Linked DNA regions of Nothobranchius furzeri. The protein of the gene in region 1 purifies or fractionates together with the protein of each later gene. This does not show direct contact. Links are inferred from orthologs where the notes say so. Each region holds a gene or a part of one and is shown on either strand. Other genes may lie near its edges. The genes, in order: rapgef1b and crkl.

Region 1 (3,825 bases):
TTTGTAGTGAAGTAGAGTTAGTGTCATGAAGCACAGTTGGAGGTCAGAGTCTGAGGCCCGCGCGGGCTCCTAGGTCTTCTCCTCACGGTCTGTCTTGCGCCTGGTGATGTTCCGAGGCTTAATTTTGAGCGAGAGCTCCCACAGGGCCTCTTCGGCTAGGTGGTCGCTGAAGTCGTTGAAGAAGGAGATTATGTCTTCGTTGCGTTTCAGCTCATAATGCCTGAAAAATGACGAAAACAAAGAAAAAATAGCTTGAAGAATGGAGAAGAGACAAAACTGATGTTTCTTTTACATTGAAAGTTTATAAAGTAGATTGTTTTTGCAAAGTTTGGCACAAGTTCCACTAAAGTTTTTCTGAAGGTCTTACACTTGCTGAAAGCGCCGCATACTGTCCAGAATGTTGAACTGCTGCCAGCGTTTGGAGAAATTGACCTTTCCATCAATGAGGTCAGGGTTTCCCAGGTGCACAAAGGTCAGGTCCTGCAGAATGAGACCTCTGCAATGACAGGCAAAATCAATTATTGTCAAGTCATACTTGAGCAGTGGACCTCTAATGGTCCAGACAGATTTACTCACAGGTACGGGATGCATGGAGGCTCCACCTCGGCCAGAGCAGCTCTGTATGCTCTGAAGGATGAAGAGCTGTCAATCAGCGTGCAATACTCCTCCAGTCCCTTAAAAAAATAAAAAAAATGTTAGAGAAGGTAACCAGCATGAAAAAAATGACATCTCCGGAGCAAAAAGTCCTCTCACCTCTGAGGTCTGCTTCTGCCACTCCAATCTCCGGATGGGGGCCGAGTCCAGGGCGGACAGTATTGCCAAATAGGAGTTAAAATTATTCAACTTTCTTAAGTGCTGCAATAAAGTAAAGAAATCTGTTAAATGCAATAAAAATGACATAAGTGATTCCTAAAAAAATGAAGCTACCTTCATTATCTTAATGAACTTGAGAAGCAGCTTCTCTCTGTCTTGGGCTTTTTCCTGCTGAATGATCAAAGATCGGACCCTGTTGGAGAGAGAAACAGCAGTAAGGCATCAGCGTTTCTGAAGTTCCAGTAATAAAAAAAAAGGATGATGAGTCAAGCGTTTAATCATGACTTTTGCTCTAACCAATAGCTCATGTTATTAAAGTGCTCTGTAAACTGAGTCAGGTTCGGACTCTTCTCCTCATTCTGCTCCTTCGCCCAAAGCAGAACCTCTGGAATCTAAACGAGAGAAGAGTTGAGGGAAACTTCAGCTTCAGCAGAGCTCGGTGTTAAAATAATCAGCTGGCAAGAGGGGGAAACAGTACCTCAATTTTGTAGAACAGCTCAGCATCAAGAAGAGTGAGCTGATCAGCGATCTCATGACTGCGGAAGTCATGAAGAGTTCCAGGTCTGTTAAAACACAAACATTCAACTTCAGGTATTCTCTCTGGATTTGATATGGAACAAAATATGATTTCAGTTTGATTAGGAAATTACTTATAATGTTCATTGTGTATTTTTAGATTTTTAGATATTTTTAAATCCATCTAACATTCCACAGCAATGGCAATAATGGAATTAACGGATAAAATATCAACAGCAATTGGCAATAAAAATGACTGTTAGTGTTTTCATTGATATGAAAAAAGCATTTGACACCACTGATCACTCAAGGTTACTTCGAAAATTAAATCAGTATGGAATAAGAGGTTTGGCTCATCAATGGGTAAAAACTTATTTAGAAAAAAGGAAACAGTTTGTTCAGATAAAGGACTATAAATCAAAAATATGTGAAAATAATTGTGGAGTGCCACAAGGGTCGGTCCTTGGACCAAACTGTTCATTTTGTTTATTAACGACTTGGTAAATGTATCTAAGACACTCTGTACCATTCTATTTGCAGATGATACAACACTGTTTTACTCGGGGAGCAGTGCGATCATGATCATTGATTTAATTTACATTTTCGGGATCAATATTGAGGAGGTGGCTAAAGTGATAAATGATGAACTGATTAAAATTAAAAACTGGTTTGATAAAAATTGATTGACACTGAATCTTAATAAAACAAATTTTATACTGTTTAATAATAAAAAGAACAGTGATGTATTATTGGAAATAGGTGAGATTGAAATTCAAAGAGTAAAAGAAACTAAATTTCTTGGAGTTCTTATTGATGAAGACTCGACATGGAAATCCCATATTAGTTACATAAAAGGTAAAATTGCCAAATCCTTAGGAGTATTACATAGAGTCAAGTTTTTACTGACTAATTCTGGTTTGTTGGCATTGTACAATTCACTGATTTCTCCACACTTGACTTATTGTGTAGAAATCTGGGGAGCAACATACAAAAACTATACACAACCCTTATTTATTTTACAGAAAAGAGCTCCGAGAATCATCAATTATAGTGGCTGTAGAGATCCATCGAACCCATTGTTTATTAAATATAAATTACTGAAATTTCATGATTTAAAAGACTAGAAAATTTTACAAACCATGTATAAAGCCAATTTAGGTATTCTGCCAACAAACATTCAGGGGATATTTGAAAAGAGAACTAGTAATTGCATGCTGAAAGAAACTGATGTGTTTACAAAACCAAGATTTAGAACTAAAATTAAGGAATGGAATATATCTGTAAAAGGTGTTAAATTATGGAATAACCTTAAAAGGGAAATTTAAAAAAACCCTGTCATTTAATATATTCAAAAAATGTACCAAATTGAGTGTACTAAATAATTATGAAAATGTAAATTAAATTAATGATCATGATCGCACTGGAATTTAGAACAGGAAAAAGTTTAAAATGAATCTGTACGTGTGTCTGACAAATGGAAATTGTATATAAATTGATTATTTTTTCTGGAAAAGGGGCAGAAATGTTTTTCTTCATTCTGCTCCTTTTCGTTCAAATTTGATTTTTTGTTATGTACTTCTTATTGTTTATATGTTTTATTTGTTTTTATTTTGAATGAAAAAAGAAAGAAAAAAAAATCCATCTAAGTGATGTAAACCATTATCTGTCCACCAGATGGCCCTAAATGGATGCTTCTCACTTAAATCCTATGAGATTGATTTTTAAACATATTTTTACATGATATTCTTATGTCCTATTCTTGTGTCAGTGTAGGTGAAACCTCCTCAACCTGGGCGGGCCTCAAGTGGGGTGTGCCACAGGGGTCTGTACTGGGTCCGCTTCTTTTTGCCATCTACTTACTACCGTTGGGGAATCTTCTTCGGCGGTTCGGCATACGTTTTCATTTTTATGCTGATGACTGTCCGATCTACCTCCCCCTTCAGCGGGGGGTCGATGGGTCAATATCAAAGCTTGTAGATGCCTTAGAGGATGTGCGCTCCTGAATGGCTACAAACTTTTTACATCTGAATGACGCTAAGACTGAAGTAATTGCACTTAGCCCTGGCATGTCTACATGCCCATGCGATGCTGTGAATCTGGGCCCTTTAGCATCCAACATGAAGACCACCATCTGAAATTTGGGAGTGCAACTGAACTCAGCCCTTAAATTCGACGCGCAACTCAACCAGGTTGTGCGATCGTGTTTTTTTAACTTACGCCGCCTAGCCAGAATTAAGCCCCTGCTGTCCAGAGTACATTTAGAGACTGTCACACATGCTTTTGTTCTTTCAAGGCTCGACTACTGCAATGCACTGTATGCCGGACTTAGTCAGGGTGCGGTAGCACTCTTGCAGTTAGTACAAAACTCAGTCGCTAGGTTTGTGACAGGCACTAGGCAAAGGGAACATATCACCCCTGTGTTGGCATCCCTTCATTGGCTGCCTGTACAATACAGGGCAAAATTCAAGGTCTTGGTACTGGCATACAAGGCCTTAC
Region 2 (3,298 bases), about 14 Mb from region 1:
CTGAGACATGAAAATTCTTGGTAAATAAAAAACCTGGTCTGAATACTTAGGACCATGTGATATTTCAGTTTTTCATTTTTAATAAATCTGCTTAAATTCTTTAAATTATTTGTTTTTCGGTCAATATGATGTGCTGTTTGTAATTAATGAGGAAAAAATGGCAGAGGATCCCCAAACCCAGGTGTAAGAAACTTGTTGCATCGTTACCAAGAAGACTCATGGCTGTATTAGCTCAACAGGGTGCTTCTACTAAATACTGAGCAAAGGGTCTGAATACATGTGATAGTTCAGTTTGTCTTTTTTAATAAATCTGCTTAAATGTCTAAAATTCTATTTGATTTTAGCAAATGTCTGCAATATAATAAAGAGTGAAAAATTGACGGGGGTCTGAATACTTTCTGTACCACTGTATATACTTTAATAGATAGTTGTTCTAAATGTTTTATTCCTCTGATGGTTCCCTTGCTAACAGCCTAGCAAACAAAACCTCTGTTGCTGGTGCTATTTGAAACGCAGTAACTCCTTTTTCTAGGTAACAACAGTTTGAAAATGTGTTTATTCCCGTCCCACTGAGATATCTTTGCTCCCCTTAAGCTTAGTTATATTTCTGTGTAAAATATTAATGAAATCTGTCTCTCCTTCCCTTAGGTCGGGGATATTGTTAATGTGACACGAATGAACATCAGCGGCCAGTGGGAAGGCGAAGTGAATGGACGAAGGGGTCTCTTCCCTTTCACCCATGTCAAAATTATAGATCCCCTGAATCCTGATGAGAGTGACTGACTCAGGAGTTGAGCTGAAGCCTCTCGACACGTACCTGAAGCAGCTGGCCGTGTCTGCCTCTCCCCAGCGGTGTCGCCATTATGTTCCTGCCTGCTTGGGGGCTGTGCTATGACGGTGACCCCATCTGTTCATGTTGCCAGCTGTGGCAAGGCTTTCTGACCGTTTACAGCTGTGGACACCAGAGCTCTACGAAAACATGAACTATTGTCCCTTAGTTCATTTTATCTTTCTGTCGTATTTACAGAGGGCAGTTTTGTTTTCCAGAACATCACTGGGCATCAGTCGTTTTTGCATGTAAAAGTGTGCGCACGTGCGTGATATGTCTTTTTTTTCTCTCTCTCCCCCTGAACATTTGTCTTGTCAGAAGTCTTGGAGAGTGTGTGTGTGTGTGTGTGTGTGTGTGTGTGTGTGTGTGTGTGTGTGTGTGTGTGTGTGTGTGTGTGTGTGTGTGTGTGTGTGTGTGTGTGTGTGTGTGTGTGTGTGTGTGTGTGTGTGTGTGTGTGTGTGTGTGTGTGTGTGTTGCAAGGGAAAAGGCATTATCTGTGTAACCTTTAGAGCACTGGGCCAACGAGGAGCTGACCAGCCAGTAACCCCCCCCCCCCCCCCCCAAATCAAGACCCTGTTGTACCACACACGTTTGGCTGTGAGTTGATGAGTGACTGATTCATTTCTGTTTTAATTTATTTTTATCCGTAAAATCAAAAAGATTGAGAAGAAAAGGCATTTCTGCAGTTTTTTGCCATAATTTGCCACCATTTTTATGTCCTTGTGTTGATTCCATTGCTATCTTTGTTTGTGCCATCTGATCAAAAAATTGATTTTACTTATCTTGAAAACTTCAATGCCATACAGTACCTCTTTAAAATTAGTTAGACATTTTTTGGAGTTACTGTGACCAAAACCAACTTTGTCCCTCTAAGTGCCAAGCCTCTGCCTGGGTCATTAGTAATATGGTCAGCTTTTCCCTCCAGAAACGACTAAAGTCTAAAATGCTCCTTTTGGTGACGGGCGCCAGGGTAAGCGAGATGTTCAGCAAACCAATGAAATCCCACGAATGCCTTCTGAATAAGACTTCTGCTTTCAGTGCATGAGAGCCCATCTCAGACTGACTATTTTAAATGTTATTAAAAGCTCGGATTGTGCACGTCTTTCTTACTGTGCAACAACCAGCAGGACCTCAAGATTGAACAGAACTAACGTAAAATGTCTCTTCCCTCTCCATCTCTAATTTGTGTGCGTGTGTGTGGTCAGACTTGGCATTTAAATTGTGCTTTTAAAAGTTTTTTTGTGTACGTGTGTCTTTTAAAGTGACTTCCAAAAGGGAAAAATGCCTGCTGGTTGCCCTACGTGCATGATCTCTTGACCGAGGAAACGGTTCACCTGGACGAAAAGCTGCTTTTTGTTATATTTTATTGGATAAAAGTTTTAATTCTAGCTGGTATGCGTGGACATCCGAGTGGGTTTTTCATGTTAAAATTAATAAATTCTAATCGAGCAATACACGCTGATAGTTTCCTTACCTGAGGTGAACTTGCTTTTCTCTCGCTACCCAGTTATTTCATAAAGACATTAACAGTATTACGTGCTCTCGCCTCGTATTCTAGGAAAGCCTGTCCTTTACTTAAGAACTGAAAATTGTGCCTTTTTATTTTCTTATGCCATTTACATGTGTTAATATTTCCCATGGTTAACACCTGTGCTGGTATTGACCCTTTATGTACAGAACAATTAAATAAAAAGTATGTCTACTTCTTTAACCTGTGTGTTTCTGCTCTTGCCTATTAGCTTGTTTGTGCTGCACAGATGGGTGTCTGCAGCCATCCTCTGTTGTGTTTCTGGAGTGCAGGATGGTTGTATTTGCTCTCATTTTTGACAGTTCCAGTTTAGAGTGCCTGGGCCCAGGAGAAAGGAAGCAATTAATGAATTTTAATGAAGTGCTAAGAAAAGAACATCAGCTGACCCAGAGATGAAGAATGGCAAGTTTTTCAAGGGCAGAGTTTCAGTTGTTTGTCCGGGACAGATGTTAGCGATGTGCTGTAGGTTCTAGAAGTTTGTTACAAAAACCTCGCTAGTACGGAGTTGGACCCACTTTGTCTTCTGAACTGCCCTAATTTCTCACGATGTAGACTAAAGGAGAGATTCTAGACGCAGAGATTCTGGTCCTTGCTGCATCATTACACCGACAGCAGCATTATGCTTTGATGAGGCAGGATGGATTCATGCTTTTTAAACTAAATTCTGCAGCAACCATCTTGAAGTTGCAGCTGAAATGATACTCATTAGACCAGGAAATGTTTTTCCAGTGTTCAGTGGTCGGGTTTCGATGAACCTTTGTGAATCGTTGCCTGCGTTTTCTTCTAAGCTGACAGGAGTAGTGGTCTTCTGCTGCTTCAACGTGTGCTGTACTGTTGACCTCATCTTGAACTGGTGCCTATTTGAGCTGCTGGTGCCTTTCTCTCATACAGAACCAGTCTGCTCCCATTTGCTGTTCACTCTCTGTAGACCCTGTTTCTTT

What was found.
Region 2: the proteins of rapgef1b (region 1) and crkl purify together in Homo sapiens (affinity purification with western blotting; 16 studies listed by BioGRID and IntAct, with this or other methods). This does not show direct contact. The link is inferred for Nothobranchius furzeri from reciprocal best matches to the Homo sapiens genes RAPGEF1 and CRKL.

What each region holds. Positions count from the first base shown.
Region 1 is NC_091746.1:61,309,453-61,313,277, forward strand, and holds part of rapgef1b (rap guanine nucleotide exchange factor 1b), read right to left. Parts: intron 1,377-3,825; coding exon 1,292-1,376; intron 1,206-1,291; coding exon 1,111-1,205; intron 1,007-1,110; coding exon 928-1,006; intron 856-927; coding exon 754-855; intron 675-753; coding exon 577-674; intron 497-576; coding exon 368-496; intron 221-367; coding exon 70-220; 3' UTR 1-69. UniProt on the Homo sapiens protein: Guanine nucleotide-releasing protein that binds to SH3 domain of CRK and GRB2/ASH. Transduces signals from CRK to activate RAS. Involved in cell branching and adhesion mediated by BCAR1-CRK-RAPGEF1 signaling and activation of RAP1.
Region 2 is NC_091746.1:46,868,674-46,871,971, reverse strand, and holds the end of crkl (crk-like protein), read left to right. Parts: intron 1-648; coding exon 649-783; 3' UTR 784-2,540; downstream 2,541-3,298. UniProt on the Homo sapiens protein: May mediate the transduction of intracellular signals.